Linked DNA regions of Oreochromis niloticus. The protein of the gene in region 2 interacts with the protein of the main gene of each other region in a biochemical or structural test. Links are inferred from orthologs where the notes say so. Each region holds a gene or a part of one and is shown on either strand. Other genes may lie near its edges.

Region 1 (7,954 bases), on a different chromosome or scaffold from region 2:
TGACCAGAAGAAGGGGGAAAAAATTATTTAAAAAAAAAAACAACAAAAAACGCTACATTTGTACCATTCTTCAATGCTGAGTTAGGAAGATGACGAGGGAAGAAACACTATTAAGAAACTGTAAGAAGCCAAGATTTTTGTTTTAAATGTAGCAATAAGGGACCGTATCAACAACCCCCCCCCCCAAAAAAAATAAAACTAAAATAAAAATAACAGAACAGCATTTTGGAAACATTTATCAAACATTGCAATTCAAGTCAAATCAAAATTCACACCGTTTTACATAAAGGATTTCTTTTTAAATCATAATGTCTTATGTGCTACATATGGAGAGAAATAATATATGTTTATATATTTATATATATATATAATTTTATTTACACACAGGTAGTAAAAAAAAAAAAAGAAAAAAAAAAAAGGAGCAAAGTAAATTAAACCTAATTGCACACTGCTACATCGACTGCTTTTAGAGGCAGTAACTTTTAATTAAGTGCCAAAAAAAATTTAGTGTTTCTATTCAGTGCTTCAACAGCGTCCTCCCCAATCTTCAGGAAGGTTGATATGTTTCTGATGCTGTGTAGATCCTCTTCCAAAAAACAAAAAAAACAAACAAAAAAAAAAAACAAAAAAAAACAAAAACAAAAAAACAAAAACCCCAAAAAACCCAAAACAAAAAAACCCCCCACAAAACAAAACACTAAACTAAAACGACAACAACAACAAAAAAAAAAATTACAAAAAAACCCCTAAAACAAACAAACAAACCAGCCAACACTGAGGTTTCTCCATGTTAAACAAGGAGGGGGGGGGCATTCATCTTCAGTTCTGTGGGACAAAACAGATGAAAGGAGAAAGAAAAAACAGAAGCATAAGAGGTTGCAATGATGACACTAATGTGGGCATTATGCAACAATTTCTGCAAACAAATAAATGAATAAATAAAATAAATAACTTAGTGTGGTCTAAGGGGTAAACCTCAGAGCAGCAGGAGACCTGAATGAACTAATCAGTTTTGTACATGTATTAATACATAAATACATAAAGACCCACCTGAGGAAAAAAACACAAAAAAAAAAAACACTGGTATAGTTTTACATTAGCACCCCTCATTAATCATGAAAAGATCTGAAAGTGCCTATGAGACAGCCTCGTTTGGGGGTATTTTTTGATTTCTACAATTTAAAAAAATGGAAATAAATAAAATGCATTAAAAAGACGTGACCACCCCCCAGCTTTGACAGTTAACATCGTGCCATAACAATGCTGATTTCATGCCTATTGGACGTCGCCCTGGCCAATACACACACACTTGCTTTCAGACCTGCACGACTCTTCTGCACACTCTCCACCGGCAGGGACAGATGTGTGTTGTAACGTTAGTGTGCAACGCGTGTGCAGCACTGCACACAGAGACCAGCCCCTTCCCGTCCCTGCTCTGAGTTGCTGACGTGTTACACTACTACACTGTTGTTCAGCACTTGTTGTTTACAAGTTTCGACGGAAACTCAACGGACTCACCGTGTCAGACAGCGGTTAAATGTTAAAGATCTTTAAAATGTACAGGCATTTTTTTTTGTTTGTTTGTTTTGCCTTCCACTGTTTCACCTCGATCGCAGTGTATCGACAGAGCTCTCTCTGCCCGAGTGGAAAATTAAAAACCAAAAAAAACCGAAGAACCCCTTTTACTCCCTTATGCTTCTGTCCCCGCTGATTAATGAATGAGACAGACTGACAGCACATTTGAAGGGCGTGCACAAAAGGTATGCAGACTGTCAAAGCTGTGCATCATCCAAATCTTATTTAAGTGAACTGAAGGGGTGTTTAAGCTGAATTAGAATGCCTCCTAATGGTTTATAAGCGGTATCAAATTTTTATTAAATGAATAAACGGATGTTTTTGCAGATTTACTCGTTTTCCAAAGGTACCCCCCAGCTGGGAGATGGAGCGGCCAGTAAACCGCCTACTGTAGTTACACTATGCACAGGCCTTTTTTTTTTTTTCTTTTAAAGAAATCTTTGCTTTTCCTTAATGGAAAAAAAAAAAAGATGAAAAAAAAGGGGAAACTATTGCATAAACAGTCTTTACCTTTTCTCACGTTTTCCTCTTGGGACTGGTCTTTCTGGGCGTGTGCTCTGCAGAGTGACTCCGACTTGGACAACTAACATCTGAGCTGCTGTGTGACCTCTTGCTCGGAACAGGGGAGTCTGCAAAAAGCAAAAAAAAAAAAAAAAAAAATTTTCGTCATTTCTTAAAAAAAAAAATAAAAAAAATATTGGTACAGTGTTGCAGGCAAACCCCACTCTTTAACAGTGCTTTTTTGGGGCCATGATTTTCAAAAATCTATTTTCGGTGCAGATCAATACGCGATCAGCTGCGTTGCTCAGAAACAACTGATGTAAACGGGTTAAACTGGAGCGTATGTAGTACCGTGACACGCGTGTCTTTTCCTCAGCGCTGTACACTGTTCCGTGCACTCCATTTGCCCGTCAGCCCTGTCGGGATCTTCGCTCGGAGGCACCACAACACAACTGTGATTCCCGTTAAGATCCACATTGTTATTCCCAGTGGAGCAGACGCCTTTCTTCGTAAGCGGCTGCCGAGTGTAGAAGCCCGGCAGGTCTCTGCAATCCACTAGTTTCCACTCGAACCTGGAGTTGGCCCTCGGCGTGTCAGTGGCGAAGTCGAAGCCCCACTGGTCGGAGGCGCGCTCTTCCAACTCCCGCAAATGTCCCTTTAAATCCCTCTTTAACTCTTCGTGATCCACCGAGCCGAAGAGGCTCCTGCAGGCTGAGGGTTTCGGGTGTTCAGACTGCCGTGAGTCCGTCCGCTCCAGCGTCGGGCTCCCGTTTGAAAGTCGAACATCTGACATTTTGCTCCAGCGAAACACGCAATTTTTTAAAACAGCCCGGAGCGTCCAGTTTTTCACGAGGAGGAAAAAAACAAACAAACAAAAAAGCAGCACACACACGCGCACACACACACAACACTCAAAAACAACGGTTATCTCCTCTTCGCTGAGAAAGCTCCAAAACAAGCGTAAAACGCGTTATGCCATGCATACGTCGGAACGAAGACGCGAACAGCCGCCGTGTTGTGAAGCCCTGCGTAGTCTCATCAAAACAAAGTGCTCAGGAACTGAAGGCGCTCTGTCAATTTTGTCCCGTAGCGAGAGAAACTGCAGACAACCCTTCTCTTTCGCCCAATATGGCGAAAGGTTGATGTGGGGGTAGGGGCATGATTGACATACTGAGCTATTTAAATTCCCAAAGAGGTCGCTCATTGGTCAGAGTTTTTAAGCCCGCCTACTTTTCTTAAGGTGGACCGGCTAAATTAAGCCGCTCTGATTTCTCTTTTTCCCTTAAAACAAAAAATATCAGCGTGTGAGTGTCATGTATATATGTAACTCTGTAATTAACGTATAATAAATAACTGTGAGTGGGGGAAAAAGGATGTACAAAAAAAAGGTAATTGATAATAAATGTTGTCATGGCTGTGTCAAATAAGATAAATTGTAATCTTTGAAATAAAAAATAGCATAACAAATCACTCCTAACAGGTGCAGAACAATTAAATTAAAACAAAACAAACAAAGCAAAAAAGAAAAAAAAAAAACTGTGCCAATCTGGCTAATGTGTATCTTTATGACATGCCATTTCCACCAATTATCTGCACCTCAGTGGGGAAGGTCAAGGTCAGCACACATCAGACTCTGTCCACACTGCCACCAGAACCCAGAGCAAAAAAAACAACACAAAAAACACACTGCTAAAAAACCACACAGTATCAGAACTCAGCAAATTTAGAATTAAAAAAAAGAAGAAGCCAAAAGTACTCAATGCTAAAGTTTTTTTCCCCGACACCTCAGGAAAAACTTAGCAGGTTTACACAAATCCCTAGCACCATCCAAATCCCATTAGAAATTACCAATAAAAAAAGAAAAATATGGAAAATTTTAATTTTATGTTTTTAACCCTAATCTGGAAAAAAGTAGGCAGGGTGTGCAAAAGTGCAAAGCAGTGATTTCTAAATTTACACCGACTCTCATATTGAGGACACTAGATTAAATGTTTTGGTCATTACCTGCAAGGAGGAGGGATCTGTTAGAAAAAAAACAGTAATCTGCTAAAAATGAGCAGATGTGTTGCTTTCAACACAAGTCAGGTCAACAATAATGTACAAATCCCTGCTTTGAATTTAATTTGAAAATAATGTCCAAACTTTTTTTCTTATTTAAGGCTCTATTTAAAAAGGTGATCTTCAAGCAAAAGTACTGTTTGTTTTTAAATTTATCAAGCTTCTTTTTCCAGCTTCTTTTTCTTTATCGTCCAAGTTTTACACTTTTCCACTGAAGGGGAAAAAAAAAAGAAAAACCCCTAAAAAAACCCCAAACAAAAGAGTGATGTCAAAAAAGATGCTCGCCTCAGGTTCTGATCAAGATGAAACAAATTGGATTTGCTTAAAATAGAAGCAAGCAACCTGCAAGAAATGATGCAATTTAATTTTACTGTGAGCAATTATTTACTTAAGAGGTCACAGCAGGCTATGTGCTGCAGCTGTGGCTGCTGGCTGGCCACCATTAATTCTGGGGCAATGGTGCCCCCTAGTGGTCATCACACCGACTCTCAATATCCATACAAAGTAAGCAGGAAGCAATCGTGATATCAAACGCTTTTAATAGGATGGTTTTAAATAAACATTTAATCTGTACATACACATATTTATATCCAAAAAAGGGAAAAATGATCCTTCCTGACTCTGCTGAGGTGTAGTCGCCTACCTTCCCAGTTAGTCCATTACAATATAGTGGTCCCCTGCTTGATAAGGCACCGTCAGAGGCTAAGCCACTTGATAATGTAGAAGTTCTTCTTGCCCACTCTGAGCAGCGTGAGTCCATTAGCCAGGATGTGGAGTTTGGGGATCAGTACCTGCTCCGGGTTGTCTGTACGCGTGTGGTTGATCCACACTGCTCCATCTGAAACCATTTGATACCTGCACACAAACATTTACACCGTCAGTTAGGACAGGGTTTCATCTTTAAAAAGATGATCTAAAAGTCACGTGAAATGGTAAATGGCCTGTATTTGTATAGCGCTTTACTTAGTCCCTATGGACCCCAAAGCGCTTTACACTACATTCAGTCATCCACCCATTCACACACACATTCACACACTGGTGATGGCAAGCTACGTTGTAGCCACAGCTGCCCTGGGGCGCACTGACAGAGGCGAGGCTGCCGGACACTGGCGCCACCGGGCCCTCTGACCACCACCAGTAGGCAACGGGTGAAGTGTCTTGCCCAAGGACACAACGACCGAGACTGTCGGAGCCGGGGCTCGAACCGGCAACCTTCTGATCACAAGACGAACTGCCAAATCTTGAGCCACTATTGCCCAAGTACAAAAAGAAAGTACACTCTGTATTCTTCCATAGGAATTTAGAGAGTGAGGAGGATCCAGGTGTTGCTAATCACATGGACTTAACTGATCATTTACAAGTGTGAGCACCTATATAAAAGTTTTGGCAGTTTACTGGTCTGAGGCATTCAGGCACATGTTAACATAGTGCCAAGAAGGAAAGACAGCAGTGGCCTTAACAAATCAACACTGGAAAAGGTCATAAGGTCATTTCCAAATAATTTCAACTCCATCTCTGTACAATGAGAATGATTATTCACAACTCGGAAACATTCAAGGGAGCTATCCATCCTCAGACAAGTGTACATCCCAGCAAATTCAGCCCAAGGTCAGACTATGCAATGTTCAGAGAAACTCCAAAAAACCCAAGAGATACATCACAGACAGTAGAGGCCTTTGTTAGCATTTTTAAATGCGGAAGTTCATGATGGTACAATTAGAAAAGAGTTAACAAGTCTTATTTGGAAGGGTTACCAGAAAAAAGCCTCCTCTCTCCAGAAAAAAACAAGCAAACTGTCCTTTGAATAAACAAGACCAATGTGGATATACTTGACCTTCACATTTGGAGTCAACCAAATACAGCATATCACAAACACCTCATACTAACTGTCAAGCACGGCGGTGGAGGGCTGATGATTTGGGTTCGTTTTGCAGCTTTGCACGGCTTGGGTAGTAGCCAGAAGAAGGAAACAAACTTTTCAACAACATTTTTGAAAACACGTTAATCTGATCATGACATTTTTATGCTGGTAAGCTATAATTATGACACATTTAACTGTTTACATGTTGCAGGGCTGTTGCTACATTATGCACCTTAGATGTGGCATTTATCTTGGCTGTAACTACATGACAGCAGAGCTAGAATCAAAGAAAACGCTTTTGTTTTCTACAAAACAGCTTTTTGAAATGTGGCAGCGTGAATGTGACTGGTTGCTATCGTTGCACTAAAGGCACACATCAAACTGTTACATGGTCACGGGCTGTAGGGGCAGCTGCAACCCGGCTAACACAAAGAAAACCTTTATGCTTATTTTTTTCAGGAAACCAGCTTATGAAATTTGACTGCGTGATCGTGACTGGGTGTTATTGTTACACCTCGTACACAAAGAAGTTGTTGTGGCGACCTGTGAGCGGTACCAGTGGAGAACAGAGACCACAAACTCCTGCACCTGCTGCAAAAAACACTACTCTTCAGCACTTGTGTTCTACAGGATAGAAATAAAATAGATGTGACAGTCAACTCAAAAAGGTTCAGATGTTTTTCATTGAAGATTATAGTTTCATTTACTAAAAAATAATTTGGTTAACAAAATTCAGCGGGCTGCATGCTGAATTTAGAGGATAGAAACAAAGAATCGATCTTATCTTGCTACTCTCGTTCTGATACAAATACCAACTTTGGTATCGGTGGTATCGACAGTTGGATCAATCCCCCCACCTCTACTACCCAGAATGTGTAACTGCATTACACACCATACACAGCAGATTACACTGTGGATCTCTGGGTGCATGTATGCTCACACTAACATCAAATCACTACATACCGCATTTAAATAAAGGAGAACTGGGGTGCTTACCCTCTGGGTCCCTCAGGGATGGCGCCGACCTTGCGGCAGGCATCTATAACAGTTGTCCCCGGCTCCAACAGCAGCTCATGGAAAGGTGCCTCCCTGAAGAGTTCCTGAAGCTCCTCATCACTCATTTCCTCCAAGGCTTGCACGCTGCTGTGATAAAGTGCATTGGTGCATCTGCAACGACAACATTAGATATGACCATTCTTTCCACATAGAAGACAGAGAACATGGGCAGCCACAGCGAGCAAAGACTACAGCAATGAGCACTGAATAGTTAAGGGTTTGGAATCTTCCTCAACAGCTCTTACTGTACTTTCTACAACTTTCAACTTTTTGGCAGAGCATAATCCTGCTATTCTAAACACTTTGACTCTAATAGGTTACAGCTGAAAGAGCTCCAGATGAATAAAATATGTATACGGATTCAAAAAAATAAAATATATAATTTAGAGTAATAAACACACAGACGATCAATTCTTACCTCTTTGCACTCTCCAGGCCCTCCTTTCCATGCACCAGTTTTGTCACTTCAGCAGCCAGTCTTTTGTGGGCGAGGCGTTTACTTGGATCTTCTCTCTGCTGCTCCATCAGTTTCTCTACCTCTGCCAAAGGCAGAAAGGTGAACAACTTCAGATACCTACAAAAAAAAAAAAAAAAACGGCCCACATAGTACACCTCAGACTGTGCACAGAATAGTTACTTTTGGACAAAAACAGGGTTGCAATGAGATGTTTCTGGATATTGCACTTTCATTAAAACTCAACAAACGTGATCAGCCTTCACTTCCACATACCCTTCCACACTGGCATCAGGCTGCCTGAGAAAGAACTGGTAGAGTTCAAAGGGTGACGTCTTGTCTCTGTTGAGCCACACTGCATTGCCTGCAGTTTTCCCCAGCTTGTCCCCGACGGTGCTGGTAACTAACGGGATGGTCAGGCCGTACACCACCTCGCCGCTTACTCTGGA
Region 2 (8,049 bases):
ACAACTTATTAGTAGATTTTTTTGACTAATATAAATAACAATAATAACTAATTAGTTACTAAAGCTTTTAAGATAAATGTAGTTTAGCACCTTGTGCACCTTTTACACTCGCCCTTGTATGCTGCTAGAAATAAAGAGGCGAGGCTTCACGTTGCTTAAAATAGAGCCCAGTTTATTATTTTTTAAGGAATCTGTGTCGAGCTCCACGGAGCTGATGAAAAGGACAGGAAGTCAGATGCAGAATCAGCAGAGAGAATGAGCTCAATTTTCAAAATAAAAGACCCCAAGCAGACCAAGTTCTTCTGAAACACTTGGAATATGATTACAAAGCTGGAACAAAACAGCATCAGTCATGGCACCAAAGACACACCTGGTGTGTTTTTGGGGTAAAACTCCAGCAAGGTTTACAAGAATCTGCCAAATTTACAGATGGAAGCCAAACAAGACGTCTGTCTGTTTACAGGCAGATTTCATTTCATCTTCCTTTCTAATCCCACAGCTTTGTCACTGTAAAACAAACAGCAGTGGATGGGAACAGCTGAGGAAGAAAAACACTTTTCTTCATGTTCATGCTTGCTGATCAGGTAACACCTGCTGTAAAGGTTTAGATTGTGATCAGTTTCAAGTCAAACCTTGTTCTTTAATGTACGTCTGCGTTAACTTAACCCTTCTGAAACCCCGGTTTACAGTTCATGCAGATCTACATTCAGTCACAAATGTGAAACAAACTCTTCGCCTTTTCGCTGTATTTTTCACGACTCTAATAAACGTTTCCTCATTTCAGTACCTCAAACACTTCATTTAATGGTAAAACCGGTTGATACCAGCATGAAAAGCAAATCAAGCAAAGGTTTGATTCACAGGTGAACTCAACTGCAAGGAGCCGGCCAATCAGTGTGCTCGACGTACTTTTTAAACTCAGGCCATCAAGTTCTGTTGAACCTGCACGTGCTGAACAAAAGTGTAGAAACAAGATGACGTGAACCATCAGACACGCATTTCAGCTTTCAGCTTTTACATTTGAGCAAAAGGGCCAGTAAAAACAGCAGGACAGTAACAGGTTCAACAAAGGTGTAAATATAACTGCTCTTTGGCATCTTTGTGTGTTTAGACTCTGAAGACGGTAAAACAGATGATGGTGAATACCTTTAATGTCTTTGGCCCACTATAATAAAAGCCTTTTGTCACCTGTTGGCCTTATAATCAGTTTTCTTTTTTAATAACAAATAGGTGACGCCTCACTTATGAGGACAAAAGTGTACATGAAAATCCAATAATTAACACTGTCCTTCAAAATAAAAGCCCTGATAAAGAAAACTAGCAGGCGTTAAACCCTGAGGAGAAACTTCTCTCTTTAAAACTCATCTGAACTGCAGCATTTTAAAACACTGTGGGAGAATCAGCTTTAAAATCAATATAAGGACAAACTCAAAGAAGGAGAAAGCACAGGTAATAAGGTGACTCTGATTACACAATTTTGAGCTGATTATTTCACAATTACATACTGCCGAAGATGCAGATTTATGCAACAAAGTTTAAAACTTGGACTTTACCATAATTTGAGTCTATTTCGACACCTAAAAACACATATTTAAACACTTCATGCCATTGTGGGGGGAAAAAAGTGCCCTACAGCGCTTCATTTAAACAGCAATGCCCTCACTTCTTTATGTTTTTCTCCCTGAGGAGCAAAACTTTCTGCTGGAATATTTCTCCAGCTTTCTGAAGGTCTGTCAAAGTTTTTCTTTGGACTTTAGCTGCTTTTTCACTCTGTTTCAGGCCAGTTTCAGAGGGAAAAAACTATCACTTTTTCTGATTTGTTTAGCTGAATATATTTAATAAAAATGCAGAAGACATTTCTTGCACTATTAGCCAAAGTCTTGGCATTTCTTGACATGTTGTACAGTGAGCCCTCAAAGAAAGAAAGAAAAATGTATCAATCCGAATTTAAAATTTCTGTTTGTCAATATGTACTGAGGTGAGGAGAGCAGCACACCAGTGAGTGTCTACAGCCACTGGGGGCCCTATCATGCTTCATCCAGTGGTGTATCAATGGTCAGAATTATAAACAGTGATGTTTAGATTATGAGTCACCATACAATACCATGGTTACTCATGAGAGCAATGAGCCCACACACACACTGTCCGTGTAGCAAAGACATATATGAATAGAAAACAGACAACTGACGACTGTCAGTTATGGATTCACCTCCACAGAGCCCCACAGCACTGAAGCACTGTGGGATCATGTTGACGGACCAGAACAAAAGACAAACATCCAAAGAAAAGCTTTGAATGTCTGAAGCCTGGAGGACTTTTTAAAGAGTGCTCAGATAACATGGCTCAAACTCCTTAGACTTGTAAAAACTCGGATTTTGCTTTATTTATATTTTAATTTTTTATAAATCGCTGCACATATTTCCCATTACTCCAGAAAAACACAAAGGAGTGAGGTGTAACTCAACTCAAGACTTTTGCTCTATATTGTCCTGTATACTGACAAATACTAGGACTCCATAAAAGGGAAGAAATAATAAGTGAACTAAAGTAAAGAGTTAGAATCCTGTGCAATAGTCATTGACTCTTAATATCTCGTTTTAACGATCAGGGTCTAAAATAAGTGCACTATTTAAATTAAGGAGAACTGTAAGGACGTATATCCAGGAATCTCGATTAGTATGAAAACAGACGTTTTCCAACAGCTGCTTCCCTCTGGCAGCTCAGTGTCAGCAGTACCTCTGACTTCGAGCTTCTCCTAATATCTTAGGAAATGAGCGACCGTATCGCTGCTCCGCTTCACCAGTTGTTCCAGGAGTGTGTCCTGTTCGAATGACCAGACCGCACCGCACCACACGGTTCACAGGGATGTGCTCGAAAAAAGCCTACCCCCGACGGATACTTGGACATATTTGGAATATAATGATCCCCAGTATCTGTTAATTTGGAAAATATTCACTGTGATTATTCCCCGGAATGGAGTCAGGCGCTGCTACGCAATACTGCTAGCTCCCATTAGCCTCTGAGGCTCGATTAGCCTGGTAGCTCCGTCTGCTGCCCGAACGCTGGATGGACCAGCTTCAAATCAAAGCACAGCCTCTATGTGACCCACATTTATCAATCGCTTACACACATGTGTGGTACTGGGACTGTATTCAACATAAAGGCTGTCTTCTTACAGTCAAAGGCAGAGGCCAGGACAGACTAACAGCCTGGTGTAAAATGGCAGCCTAGCTCCTCGAGCTTCTCAATAATGAGTCAGGAAAACAGTTCGCTAACCGCCTAGCATTAGCGTGCTGGCTCTCCGCTTAACAGGCTGAGAGAAAAAAAAATCTTCCCCGGCCCAGCTCTAAAATGTCACCTTACCATTTTAAAGCAGTCCCAGTCACTTTGTAATCGCCGGATGAGTTGTTTTCAGGCCAAAAATCGGTGTCCCGCTGCCGTCTCTGAGTGTGTTTGCTGTCGGTGGCTAACTACGACTGCTGCGCTGCTTCGTTCGCACAAAGATCAGCTCACAGCGCCGCGGCCACTGACTGCAGTTGCCTTCAGGCTCCCTCGGAAATACGCACAGCACCGCCGACACACGCATGCACTCTTTATTATTAAAGAATAGGAGGGCTACAAAATACGGACGTTTGTTTCTGCCACTGAAAAAAAAACATACCAGACAGAGGTGAGACAAAATTTAAACCAACTGCCTCAAAGTTGAACTTTTAAAATAATGACTTACATTTTTGACTTAACTCTGCCTGGCATTTTTTTCTGTAACTGAAAAAATACTTCATAAATAACATTGTGAAAATAATATTGGAAGTTTTTTCTTTCTTTCAAGTTTTCCATTCGGAGAAACAAGTCCAGAATATTCCAAAATGAAGTGAAAATACTATTCCAGATGAAATACTAATAATACAGTCTAAATAAAATCCAAATACTGACAGTAAAGTTGAAATGCTTATGATTTACCCCCTGATTATTTGGATAGATGTGTATCAGTGGTTTTGTATGCAATACTAGTTAAATTGTGAAATACTTCTCTGTATCTGCAGTTACAACATCTGGAGTTCCACAAGGATCTATGTTGGGGGACTGTTTTGTTGTTGTTGTTGTTGTTTTTGCTTTTAACATTCATCCTTCCTGTCAGTAAGCCTGGTGAACTCAGACCCAGGACCCTCTTGCTGCAAGGCAACGCTGCTAACTACTTTTAACCAATTTTAAATTTGACAAACAAATAGGTGCTGAGGTTGAGAACACTTTGTTCTAACGCTAACATTCCCCAAACATGTGGGGAAAACATGCCTGTTACAGGCTGAACACCTGTTTTGTCAAACATTTACCACCTGCTGATCTCTGAAACTGTCGCTCATGGACAGTTTGTTGTTGTGTGTTTTTTAATGCAAGTAGTGTGACTATGTGTTACAGGTGGGGGGATCGATCCAGATATTGATAGTATCAATACCATACTGGTACTGGTATTGGATCCATACTTTGTTTCTGTCCTGTAAGGTCAGCATGTAGCGCACTGAATTGTGTTCATTTGTGTTAAATAAATCAGTATTGGTATCAGCAATACTGGCCCTGTATTTATTTGGTATCATATCAATACCAAAATTTGCAGCATATCCCAGCACTACCATGTGTAGACAGAACCTGAGAAACATTCTGTTTTTCTCTCTCTAATATAAAGTGCATTAATTTAAATTTATTATGTAAATAATATTAACTTACTTACTAAGAATAAACTCAAGCTATAATTATGAGACTCAGATTTGCAAAAGAACAAACAAAGAATAAAACCTAAACTATTCACCAGGCCGGTGTATTTCAGGCGCTAATGGAGATATCTTTAGCTTACTTTGTAAAACCCATAACAATAAAAACACAGAACAGAGGTCAATCGCAGGTCAGGTCTTTTTCAACAATATCAGAGATTACAAATCGTTTATGAAAGACCCTTTGTTGATTTTATTTAATACTCTTGTTAATTTATTAATTTAATTCATTCATAAAGCTACACAAAAATTACACAAAATTACATAACTGAATATGCATTGTTTAAATTTAATGAAAAACCCAATTTCCATGTTTTGAGAACCAAAACTTGTGCTCAGACTTTGTGTTTACAGTCTATTAATGGTACTTATTGTAAATAACTGTGTTTAATGTAAAGAAACAACTGATTTTAGTTTGTGCTGAACTTCAGTAGAGCTAAGCCTGTAGTTATGATCATTAACAGTTAGAGCCCCTCCTCATCATTTTCTTCCTCTTCTTTGGTGCAACCCTATAAATACAGTGTACCCCTTTGGCCTCTCCCCTTTCCTACGATTCCCCTGTGGGAGAAGTTGGTGTCCTTTCTTTTCCAACACTGTACAACACACATATACAGTATATTTAGCCACCCTGATGTTTCTGATTATGTTTTTAGTTCAATTATTGTCATCACAGCTGTGGTGGGTTGAGCTAACCCTCTTCCCAGGAGCTGGAGCGGGCAAGTTAATGACTTTGAGGTCTTTGTTTCTTTTTACCTTTCATTGTCAGACACAACATAACATACCTTCACACCGTGTACATTGTAACATACCTGTAATAGATCCATATTTGGTAATATATCTATATTATTGCCAAAGCACTTTCTGGATGGATGCAAACTGCATTTCGTTGCCTGGTACTGGTAACATGTGCAATGACAATAAAGTTGAATTCTAATTCTAACAACGCAGGAACACACCGGTCACATATACATGTGATTTTACAGTATGTTTTGGGGTTTTTAAAACCTTTTTTGCATGCATGTTTGATTTATATTACTGTTCCCACAGCTTGGTTAAGCTTAACATTGAGTCTTTTTTCAAATTAAACATTAATCTGTGCTCTACAGCAGAAAACAGGGTAAAGACAGCAGAACTGCGAGTGCTACATGTACGATACTTTATTTGCAGTTTTTGGAAATGCGCTTGTTCAGCATGTGGCTCAAATATAACAAAGATCCAAACCCTAAATGACTTTAATTTAAATGATTTCAAACATGCATGTGTAGGCTTATCATTCAAATCTGATAAAAAACAGTTTGAAACACTGGTGTTTTTATCCAAAAATCAAATTTTCAAAGATTTTATTGATTTAAAGTTAATATTCTTTGTCTTGTCTTTATATAATAGTTTTTACTTTAATTACATTCCTTATATTTTGTCATTAAAATAACCAGAAATTAGAATTTTTTAATACTGGAAAAACAAACACAAAGAAACAAAAACATTCTAACACTGAAATGTCTGAGCTTCCCTGGATCCCCTGAATGCTACACCTGCTCCACAAAGTGGCCTCCCTATAAGGACTACAATCATGGCCTCACAGCTGCTTCCCTACAGCTGTCACGCATGCGCAAAGGTGGGTTTTAGTTGCCATATGACACATTTCAATTATGCATGCGTGATACAGAAGCACGATGCTGACATTTAGCTTCCTGGCCTTTAATGTGTGTATGTGAAGGTTATGCAAAGAATTCAAATGGCTCCTTTGACTTGCATTTGACTCATTCTAATGAAACATTACAAAAATAACCACAGTCCTCAGGTTCACTGTGTCTGTGCTTCTCACTGTGCTGTGATCGTTCTACATGAAGGTGTTTTGCTACAGGAATCTGAATGCTCTCCAGTCACCTTTCCTCTTTGTGCAGTGTGATGGTCAATCATCACCGTCTACCCACCCTGTGCACCGCCACAGCCTCTGAAACAGGCAGAACACGACCTCTGCTGGCATGGGAGGAAACACAAGCTTGGATTCTAGCAAGGAAGCATCCTCATCAAAGTCAAAGGGAAGGTGAATCCTCCCCGACGATCTCCGCTGCTGCTCCTGCTTCACTTTATCAGTAAATCCTGAGACCCAGGAGGTAAATTAAAGCTTCAGGTGTCACTGATTCTTTACATGTGTGCATAGATGTATAAAGTTTTACAAAATCTAAAGAAACAATCTCCCTCTCACCTCCAGGTGGTGTTGTGTGTGTCTTCTCCAAGCTTGTATCAACTACCACCTGACAATTTGAGCTTTTCATGTTTCCATAGCAGCCGGATGTTGGAGATTTCTAGTGCAGCTGGGCTGCAGGTAACTGTAACTGTTAGTTTATAAAAGATTTAAAATATTCTAAATAGAAATAATCACTGGCCAGATTCAGCAACCAGGGGCTCCAGCCCAGACCGCTGCCTGATCCACAAAGCACCAAACCCCTACGACCCCTCCTGTGGGTGGAAATCAGAAATCCGGACATGCCTCAAACACCTCGTAGGTGAGGCATTCCCGGTCTTACCTCTGAAACGTCATTGAAGGCAGTTTCAGAGTCGTGGAATAACACCGGAAAACTTTGCGATCTTCATCTTGAAGATGAGTTTTTCCAAATGTCAAAGAGCACGAGCGCTGCTTTCCACACTGAGCTGTGATGCCTCAGACAGAAACCAACTGCTTTAACATTTATTGTAAATATTAAGTGAACATTTTTATTGTTATTGCGTCACAACTTATGACTGACTCTCCTCTCTGCTGCGGGTGGCCACAGCCCGTTTATGTCAGTCCTGCTCTGCTGTCTTTGAATTATGTAAGAATGGAGAGTGGCGTGATGTGTTCACAGGCCACACCTCACAGTCGGTCAGAAGTGAAACGACTTTCATAATTAAGAAGTGTTACGTGAAGTCTGTTTGTTGCAGCAAACATTTTTATTTCCGGTGTTTGCAGCTTGAACACACGGACTCAGTCTGTTGGACACAGCTGCAGATTTAATGAAAACTACAAATAAAATAAAAACAAAGGTAAAGAAAATACAACAGAATCCTGCATAGAAAAGTGAATCTAACCAAACACATTCAACAGGTGAAAGACTGGAGTACCTGTGAGCAGTGAACCACCTGTGTTAGCACAAAACTGTTTATATTTATCACATTCAGGCCAGAGATGGCTGCATAGTTTGAGCTGCACATATAAGATTCCCTGAGCTCCATGTTACTGACGTGATGGCTGAAACCTCGGAGGAAGATGTTTGAGTCATCGACCTGTTAATAAAGTTAT
Region 3 (8,124 bases), on a different chromosome or scaffold from region 2:
TTATTCTAGGCACTTAAGGGGTGTCCACACAGGAAGTAACTCACAGATATGTGGTGACCAGAGACCACAAAAAGCTGTTCAATGATTTGAAGCAACAATGGGTGACGCAAAGAGGACGTGTTTCAAGTTTCTGAACTTCAAACGGAGCAACTCAAGCACAACTAGTTATCTTTACGATACAGCTGACTGACATATGACTGGGTCGTAAATAGACAACCGGTACCTAGGATGTCCATTAACAGCAACAAAGCAACGCATGACAAGCACATCGTTTACCTGTGCATGTGCCCCCCCACCTTTTTTTTCATAAATCTGAGTTTTTGGTTGCAGTTGTCATGTAAAAATAATCAAAGATTTCAGAATTACAACCATCGCTGTGTGCCAGCGAGTGTGAAACAAGAGGCAACACTTAAGAGTTTCATAGCTAACAGATACACTTAAGCATAATCTCACAGTAGCCTACATCATCTTCTCATTTACTGCGCTGATAACTACAGTAAAGATTAGACAGCAGAAGAATGCCAGCTATTAGTGAGCATGTCTCGGACTGCATTCGAAATCCACCTTATCGCAGCCTGTTTGCTGTCTGTTACCCACGGCTATCTCCGCTCTTCCTCCCCTTCTGCCTCATTCTGACAGTGAACAGACTACCGTAAACTGCCAGGATTTCTCACAGATAACAACGGCAGTGTAGTGCAAAGACAGAACTTTAAACTTCATTTCTTCCTGTCCTCTGGACTGTCCTGCAAACCAGCAATAACAATTCATAAATCATATTTCTCTAAGGTTTTAATATTATATTTGGCGCTGGTTAAATATCCAAATCTATTGTAATGTTGTCTTCTTCTGCTATAACAATATTCAAGGCTTTAAGAAAACGATAAACTCAGTCAGTTCAAAGTTTTAAGTGGTTTCGAGGTAGGAGCACTCTGTAGGTGGACAGAATTGTGTAACATTACACAACAGCACATGCCTGGGGATTAACCACGGGCTCTGTCCAGTCTGTACCATGAGGCTGCAGGGGGCCAGTAGCTATTGTCACAGCTGTGTCACAACACACACCCACAAATCCACAACTTTAGTTTCTTGCTTATAGTCTTCTGTCATCATGCACAGTTTTTGCAGATACACAGCTGTACTTTGACAAAAGTAGAATTCTGAAATTAGTGTTTCTATGGGGCTTAAACTCTGTGTTTTTTGGGGGGGGTTTTGTTTTTGTGCTCTAATTACAATTTCCACAATCCGTCTAAGCCTTAAAAATTCAAAAAATAAATTAGGATGCAAGTGAGAATCCCCGTTCACACACCTATTCATTTAATTAAAATAAAAGAAACCACAAAGGTTTTGAACACTTTCTTCTCTGTCCAAAACAAAGACACAGAGGATTTAATTTAATTTAAAAGGATACAAAGTGAGCTTCCAGCAAGACCAGTGCTGTTTGTTCACTCTGTTTCCCCATTGTGAAGGATTAATTAAAGAACAAGTTAGGCTTTTTTCACATAAACAAAATTGCAAAGAGCAACACAATGCACTTTCTTCTCTCTCCATCTCACTCCAACTACTGTTAGCACCAGCGAATTAATGAGGGGAAATGCAAAACGTGGGGAAGCTGAGCCTGTGAGGCCAAAGCCACCCTCAAATAATGGCGTACTAAAGAAAGGAGAGCTTTGTTCAGTGCAACACAAGCAGGTTCCTCTTTAATGACTTCATGTGCATGCCAATCACTTGCGCCACACAATCTCAAAACGCAGCCACGCCACTTTTCAGGATAGGCCAAAGTTTTAAGCAGGCAGCATGTGACTGATAGCAGCAGGTAATTCAGTCCAGCAGGTAACACCTCAGGGGATGATAACTGGAAGGTTATGCTAGAGTTTAGACGAACGGTGCCCATGGGAGATCACAGGAGCTCTGGTGGATGAGCAAAGAAGTAGTCACAAGACAAATGGGCTGTTAGTTCTACTCTCAAGAGAACAAAACAGCATCTATGAGCTAGTGGTAATTCATTGTTTTAAGCACATCACAGTTACAGTCTGTGGGTGTTTAACAGGAGCAACTTTGTTGTTGCAGGTTATTAAGATCTGTGCATGGCAAAAATAAAATGTGTTATGAGGAGGTCTTTCAAACGAAACGGGCAAGTGTAAGTAAAGATTCGATCTTAGTGTTACGTAGACCCCAATGACATCTTGAAAACCAAATAATGAGTTACTGTATTATTTTTTCAAAATATTTAATTTGCCCCCCCCAAAAAAGCTTTAAATTATACATATAAAACAGTCACTTCCCTTCCTATGCAGCTTCTGCCATCACTCTTTGAGATGCGCAACTACTGTGAACTGGAAAATCCTCAGAGAGGCTAAAACTGTTCAGTTTCATTTTCCAAAGTTTCAATTTCAAAGGCACTGAGTTCAAGTTAGACACAAGGAGGAGGGCCAAAGGAAGGCCACACACTGGCTCTTCTTATTGGAGAATGACAGTCAGCACTGACTAAGTCCCAGACTGTAGCGATCAAAAGAACAGCTAAAACTTAGTATGGAGCAACACTACTTTGCATATGAAGGTTTGCGATTTGGTAACTCGAACCTTCAAAAACTTAAAAACATTTCTTTAAAGTATTCCTAGTAAACCACAGACTGCCTCCAACAACAGCAGTGGTTAGCTCCTCTGAGGAGCTCAAATCTGAGCCCTAAGCTGCTAAATCACAGCTTCAATCTTTCAGGTGGCGTCTGCGAGACCGTTCACTGCACACCGATGTGATACAAAACTGAGGCCGGTCCTTTAGAAATAGCAGACAGAGGGGTCTGTGGGGTGTCAGATGTCAACAGGGACCAGTTGCTGGAGTCTCAGCCCGGGCTTCTTCTCATGCTGCAGCAGCTGTGTCTTCTCAGACCTCACATTCCTGCAGGACAGGCCCACTTTACCCTCATCACCTGTGCTGATCTGAGGGCAGGACAAGCTCTCAGGGGCACCTCACCCACCGCAACATTAATTTAAGTCATTTTCCTTCCTTCCTTCCTTCATTTTTTTTTAAAACAATAATCATCTAACACCAAAATGAATATTTGAAAATGATCATAGAAATAAAAGTCAGGAGCATGCTGACAGTCTATGGACTTTTGCACAAATTGGATGATCTTCTGGTGACATCTGTCCATTTATAAAAAGGTATAAAAAATTACTTAAGGTAATCAGTAAGCACAGCAGATCAACTCAACACTAACTTGCATAAAAATTAGGCTATAGTCTGTTAAGGTAAACTATAGTAACTATACTATAAAATCGATAAAAACCCACTCAGGTGCATTCAAGATACACAACCATCCCATGTAAAATCTGTCTAAAGTCAGCTCTCCATCCACAAACACACGTACACACACAGAGAGACACAATGCCCATGATTCAGCAGCTTCTTCACCCCATTAGACCTCCCTGTACAATTACAGCTGCTTTGCAGTGCATATTGCCTTCAGTGCATTATAAGCTGCTCTGTCTGACCTCCACTAAATAATACATGTAAACACTTACCCCGCCCTGCCGCAGTAATAGCTCCCATTTCTGCAGGACCGTGAATACATAACACCTGATTTATGTCGCAGTGACATATTGTGTACGGTTTCATGTACGTATATCCTTATTTTTGCTGTCTCAATCTTTGCATGCATTGGTGTTCCCCTATGCTTTTTGCAAACCTTGTTTGAGCTTGTAATGGATAAAAAAAAACGCCCCCTGTCAATGGTTTGCAGATAAAAATGAGCCCTTTGTAATTTGTATTGTGCACTATCACAAATAAAATGAAAGAATAAAATAAATCCAGCCTGCATTTATCATGTTACATGTGGTTGTTATTCTTATAAACTGTCCTTCAGCCAGCTGTAGCTGTGGAGTAAGCACTCTCTGTAGTGTGAAATGACATCTGAGTGAGGAGCAGCCAGAACTTTTTACAGGCTCACATCACACACAGCTCTGACAGAGATTCCTCAATGAACAAAAGCACCGACTGAGCCCCCCAAAACACACACACACACACACACCTTAAGTCTGCCAACTGAAAACGATGCTGCAAATGAGTGCAGGTCATAAGAAGTTTCTTACGGACTACAACTGAATCATAGGTTCACTGGCAGCTTCCAGCCAGACGCCTATCGTCCCACAGCGGGGCAGCCCGACGCACCACAGTAGATAACTACTACTAAACATCACTCTTACCTCCAGACGTGAGCTGTAAAGTCAATTTAAAGTGGCACTTGAGTTTTCCCGTCTCTTGTCAGGCTTGACCGTGGAGCCACACACACTTGTAGGCACGCAAAAAATCACAGTCTCTATTTAATTCCCTGCATTCCCACTGAATTAATTTGCTTTCTTCTCACTCGCCTCACTTGCCTCCGAGCAAAGTCCTCGAAAGTCAAGTCCGTGTTGAAAACCTACGCATTTTTTCTTTTTCTTTTTTATCCGAGCATGTTCGCAGTATGAATCCAATTAAACGGCAGTTCTTCGCTGCTCGGTCGCTGAAAACTCCTCTCCGTCTTGCTAATCAGTGCGGCTCAGCATTGCGCGTTCACGCCGCTGATGGGAGGGGAGAAAACACGGAGGGGGAGGGGCGGAGCGAAGCAACCGGAAGTACCCTGAAACACACAGGGCAACAGTGACCACACTGCACCTCTCGGTTTCCGATAATGGATTATAAACTTTTGGGGTCATGTTAGAGTTTTTAAAAAAAAAACATAAAATGACGGAAATCCACTTGATTTTAAAATGCGTGGTTCTCGCCTTATTCGCTGTAAAATGCAAAGAAAGACACTTCTCCAGTGCTTGCATGTAACGACACAGAATGTCAGTTTTTCAGTAACGCTCACGCGCCCATACCCGAATGCAAGGAGCCAATCACAAGCAAGCTTATCTCCACCCCACTGTCGCAAAATGTTACGGTCTTCTCGCCGTGGTTTACGATAGTCATTGCAATGAGGGGCATCACCGCTCGTGTTTTCGTGGTACTTTTAATTTGAATGTGTCATTTACAGGTAGGACACTAAACGGACACTGTGTATTTCAGTTTGGCAGCCCACGGTTGATGTGGCGCATGCTCAGGCTGCTGTTTAACTCAGTTTTTTGGCTTCGAGTGACGCTAAAAACTGTCGGTTAGCGAGCTCAAGCTAAAAACGCAGGCTCGCTTGAGCGGAGAGCTGCCTGCTGAAGTAAACGCATTGCAGTAATGTGATGCTCCGCAGTGGATTCCCGGCCCAGCAAAGCGCTACTGTAACATCTCTGAAAATAACCTGATCGGCCAATGCGCTAAGACGGCTCCAGTTAATGTGTCTGAGTGAGTAATAAAGCAAAGTAGCGAACAGAAAGTCAACAAGGATCCCAGAAACAGGCAGCCTGCGTTAGCTTCAGTGAAGTTTAACAGTTTGTGCGAGTTGCTTAAATGAACACAGACTGTGACTGCGTTTGAATCACTAGTTCAGGATGAGATCTGTGGAAAAAAAAAAAAAAAAAAGCTTCATGTTTGAAACCAGTGCCAGGCTGTTCTGGCCAACTGGCATCGGAATGAAGCCTTTTGCATTCTCTAAGAAACCCAAATGACTCCTTTAAATTCGGCAGATTGCTCCCCCTCCCTAAACCTGTTTCTGCTGGAGCTTTCTTCCTGTTAAAATTTAGTTTTTCCTTCCCACTGTCGCCCAGTGCTTGCTCAAAGGGTGGTCGTCTGATTGTTGGGTCTTTACCTTACAATATGAGGCTGCTTGAGGTGCAGTAGTTGTGATTTGGTGCTGTATAAATAAAACGGAATTGAATTTATTCTGTGAAATTACTGCTCTGCTGAGTAGTTGATCAACAGCTGCTAAATAATATTGCCTGTGACATCACAGCATCCTTAAGGTGGTATGTGCTGATTGAACCTATTGTAGAAACCAGCAGTACGAGACAAAGAAAAGCAGTTCTCATATTAAAGAAAACACAAGGAGTAAATTTCTGATGAATGAATTAGCCGAGCCCTAAGCATTAAATCGTTTCTCTGTATTTTCAGACTGACACACTCTGACTGCTCTGGAGGATGGATCCTGTAGTGCTGAGCTATCATGACAGCCTGTTGCGGCGCTCTGATGTCTCTCTACTGGAAGGACCTTACTGGCTTAATGACCAAGTCATTGGTTTTGCCTTTGAGTACTTTGCTGCCGAGCGCTTTAGAGCCCTGGGGGAAGCCGTCATCTTTATCAGCCCAGAGGTCACCCAGTTCATCAAGTGTGCTTCCTGCCCTGATGAGTTGGCATTGTTTCTGGAGCCACTGGATCTTGCTTCTCGTCGCTGGGTCTTCCTAGCCGTGAACGACAACTCGAACCAGACCGCTGGAGGGTCCCACTGGAGCCTCTTGCTTTATCATCACAACTCCAACCACTTTGCCCACTATGACTCTCAAAATGGCAGCAATTCACTTCACGCACGGCGCATCGCCAGCAAGTTGGAGCCTTTCCTGGGCGCAGGGCGGAAAGCGCTGTTCGTCGAGGAGCCCTGCCCATCCCAGCAGAACAGCTATGACTGTGGCATGTATGTTATCTGTATTGCCGAGGCCTTGTGCGAGAAGGCCCGGGTGGAGGGCTCGCCACGCCTTCCTGTGCAAATGATCACCCCAGCCTACATCACCCAGAAGAGGGCCGAGTGGTCCAGACTGATCCAGAGCTTAGCTCAAAATGACCTCTGCTGCTCGCTGTCTTTCCCTTAGCACGTCGATTGCCCCGCACTATATGCAGAAAAGCTGTCACCCCACATATCTACTGCTGGAGAATCTGAATGCACTCCCTCAATACAGTATATAACTATATATATGAAATCTATTTCTATTACAGTCTCTGTCCTACTCCATTATCAAAAAAGTTAAAAACATAAAGCAATGCTTCAAATATTTAATGATTTCAGAGAACTATTGGTGTCGTGTATATGCACAGAAACGAAAAGTATGTAAACAAGAACACCAGCATGCCTATAAAACAGATTTTCTCCTGTGTACATATTGAGCGAGGATGTGGAAGAGGAGGCACAGACTTTTTTTTTTTTCTCCATTTTCTGAGTTTGGAGCGAATGTAGAAATGTTTACACAGATTATTGCTCAGGGTCATTTTAAATGAACTGAATTGACAATAAGAATGTGCACATGAACTCTGGCTCCTACTTTTGTCACACAGTCATTGTGTTCGTCAGCTTGAACATGCATACTTTTAGTTTTTGAGATAATTTGAAGAATTCCTGCTGTATGAGGGTGCCGACGTGCTGTGAGTGTTTATGGAACAAAGGGCAGTGTTGGGTGGTGGAATGTATCCAACTCACTGTCTGTCGAGCTAATAAATGTGACTCTTGTCACGTTTTTGTTGACACAGTGGTACAATTATTTATTATTTTTAATTTTCTTTCTCTTGTAATTTAAGTCATTTTATGTCAGAAAAATTAACTGCACGCTGGTTTACAGGTGGTTACATCACTGAGGAAATTACATTTGCAGATGTACTGAAGCTTAAATGTGAGATTTCTAGATTTTTATTTTAACCTCCTGTGTTATTGAATGCAGAAGTGTTGCAAGCACTGTCATAAAATATGGCACCCAAATGTTTATCTGCTTTTGAATACCTTAAGTTTTAAATGTTCCTATTTGGGTCATTAGTTGAGTGTTCCTTGGTGATGGATGATGACATGAATCAGTATCTTAAAAAAGTGCACTAACAGCAGTAATTTAGTACTCAAAGTGGAATGAAGCATAATATTCAGGTTGTTACATTCAGCAGTTAAAGGCCCAGCTGACTAAGAAAAACTAAGCAGAAAACATAAGTGGCAAAGTATTAAGTTCACTGTATTTTAATTGGAAAAAAAGTGGCTTTAATGTGTTTTTTCTTTACAATGGTAAACACGAGCTTCAGTTTCAAATCATGACATCAGTATACGTGTAAGGAATCTCAATGAGCCAAATACTCAGACTTCAGACTGCTTTGCATGCGACAAAACAATTTTTGGCTTCCTGTGATGTCAGTGAGAGCAGATATTACTGATGACATCGCAGACAAACAGCTCTGGGTGTCAGCAAATAAGTCCCGGCCATCTGCTCTTTAAACCTTCTGTTTGTAAGGGGCAACCAATCAGAAGAAT

What was found.
Region 1: the proteins of cullin-1 (region 2) and cdkn1bb form a complex in vitro, tested with the Homo sapiens proteins (2 studies listed by BioGRID, with this or other methods). The link is inferred for Oreochromis niloticus from reciprocal best matches to the Homo sapiens genes CUL1 and CDKN1B.
Region 3: of the proteins of cullin-1 (region 2) and senp8, one has a biochemical effect on the other in vitro, tested with the Homo sapiens proteins (2 studies listed by BioGRID). The link is inferred for Oreochromis niloticus from reciprocal best matches to the Homo sapiens genes CUL1 and SENP8.

Annotation. Positions count from the first base shown.
Region 1 is NC_031972.2:46,454,566-46,462,519, reverse strand, and holds the start of cdkn1bb (cyclin dependent kinase inhibitor 1Bb), read right to left. Parts: upstream 3,266-7,954; 5' UTR 2,870-3,265; coding exon 2,428-2,869; intron 2,205-2,427; coding exon 2,092-2,204; 3' UTR 2,086-2,091; intron 826-2,085; 3' UTR 1-825. Other genes in the region: yars2 (tyrosine--tRNA ligase, mitochondrial), read right to left, coding at 4,830-4,989, 6,992-7,162, 7,470-7,625, 7,782-7,949. UniProt on the Homo sapiens protein: Important regulator of cell cycle progression. Inhibits the kinase activity of CDK2 bound to cyclin A, but has little inhibitory activity on CDK2 bound to SPDYA. Involved in G1 arrest. Potent inhibitor of cyclin E- and cyclin A-CDK2 complexes.
Region 2 is NC_031974.2:2,230,915-2,238,963, reverse strand, and holds the start of cullin-1, read right to left. Parts: upstream 3,551-8,049; 5' UTR 3,364-3,550; intron 1-3,363. UniProt on the Homo sapiens protein: Core component of multiple cullin-RING-based SCF (SKP1-CUL1-F-box protein) E3 ubiquitin-protein ligase complexes, which mediate the ubiquitination of proteins involved in cell cycle progression, signal transduction and transcription.
Region 3 is NC_031965.2:11,166,287-11,174,410, forward strand, and holds senp8 (sentrin-specific protease 8), read left to right. Parts: upstream 1-4,860; 5' UTR 4,861-5,015; intron 5,016-5,021; exon of another isoform or gene 5,022-5,314; intron 5,315-6,019; 5' UTR 6,020-6,046; coding exon 6,047-6,712; 3' UTR 6,713-7,359; downstream 7,360-8,124. UniProt on the Homo sapiens protein: Protease that catalyzes two essential functions in the NEDD8 pathway: processing of full-length NEDD8 to its mature form and deconjugation of NEDD8 from targeted proteins such as cullins or p53.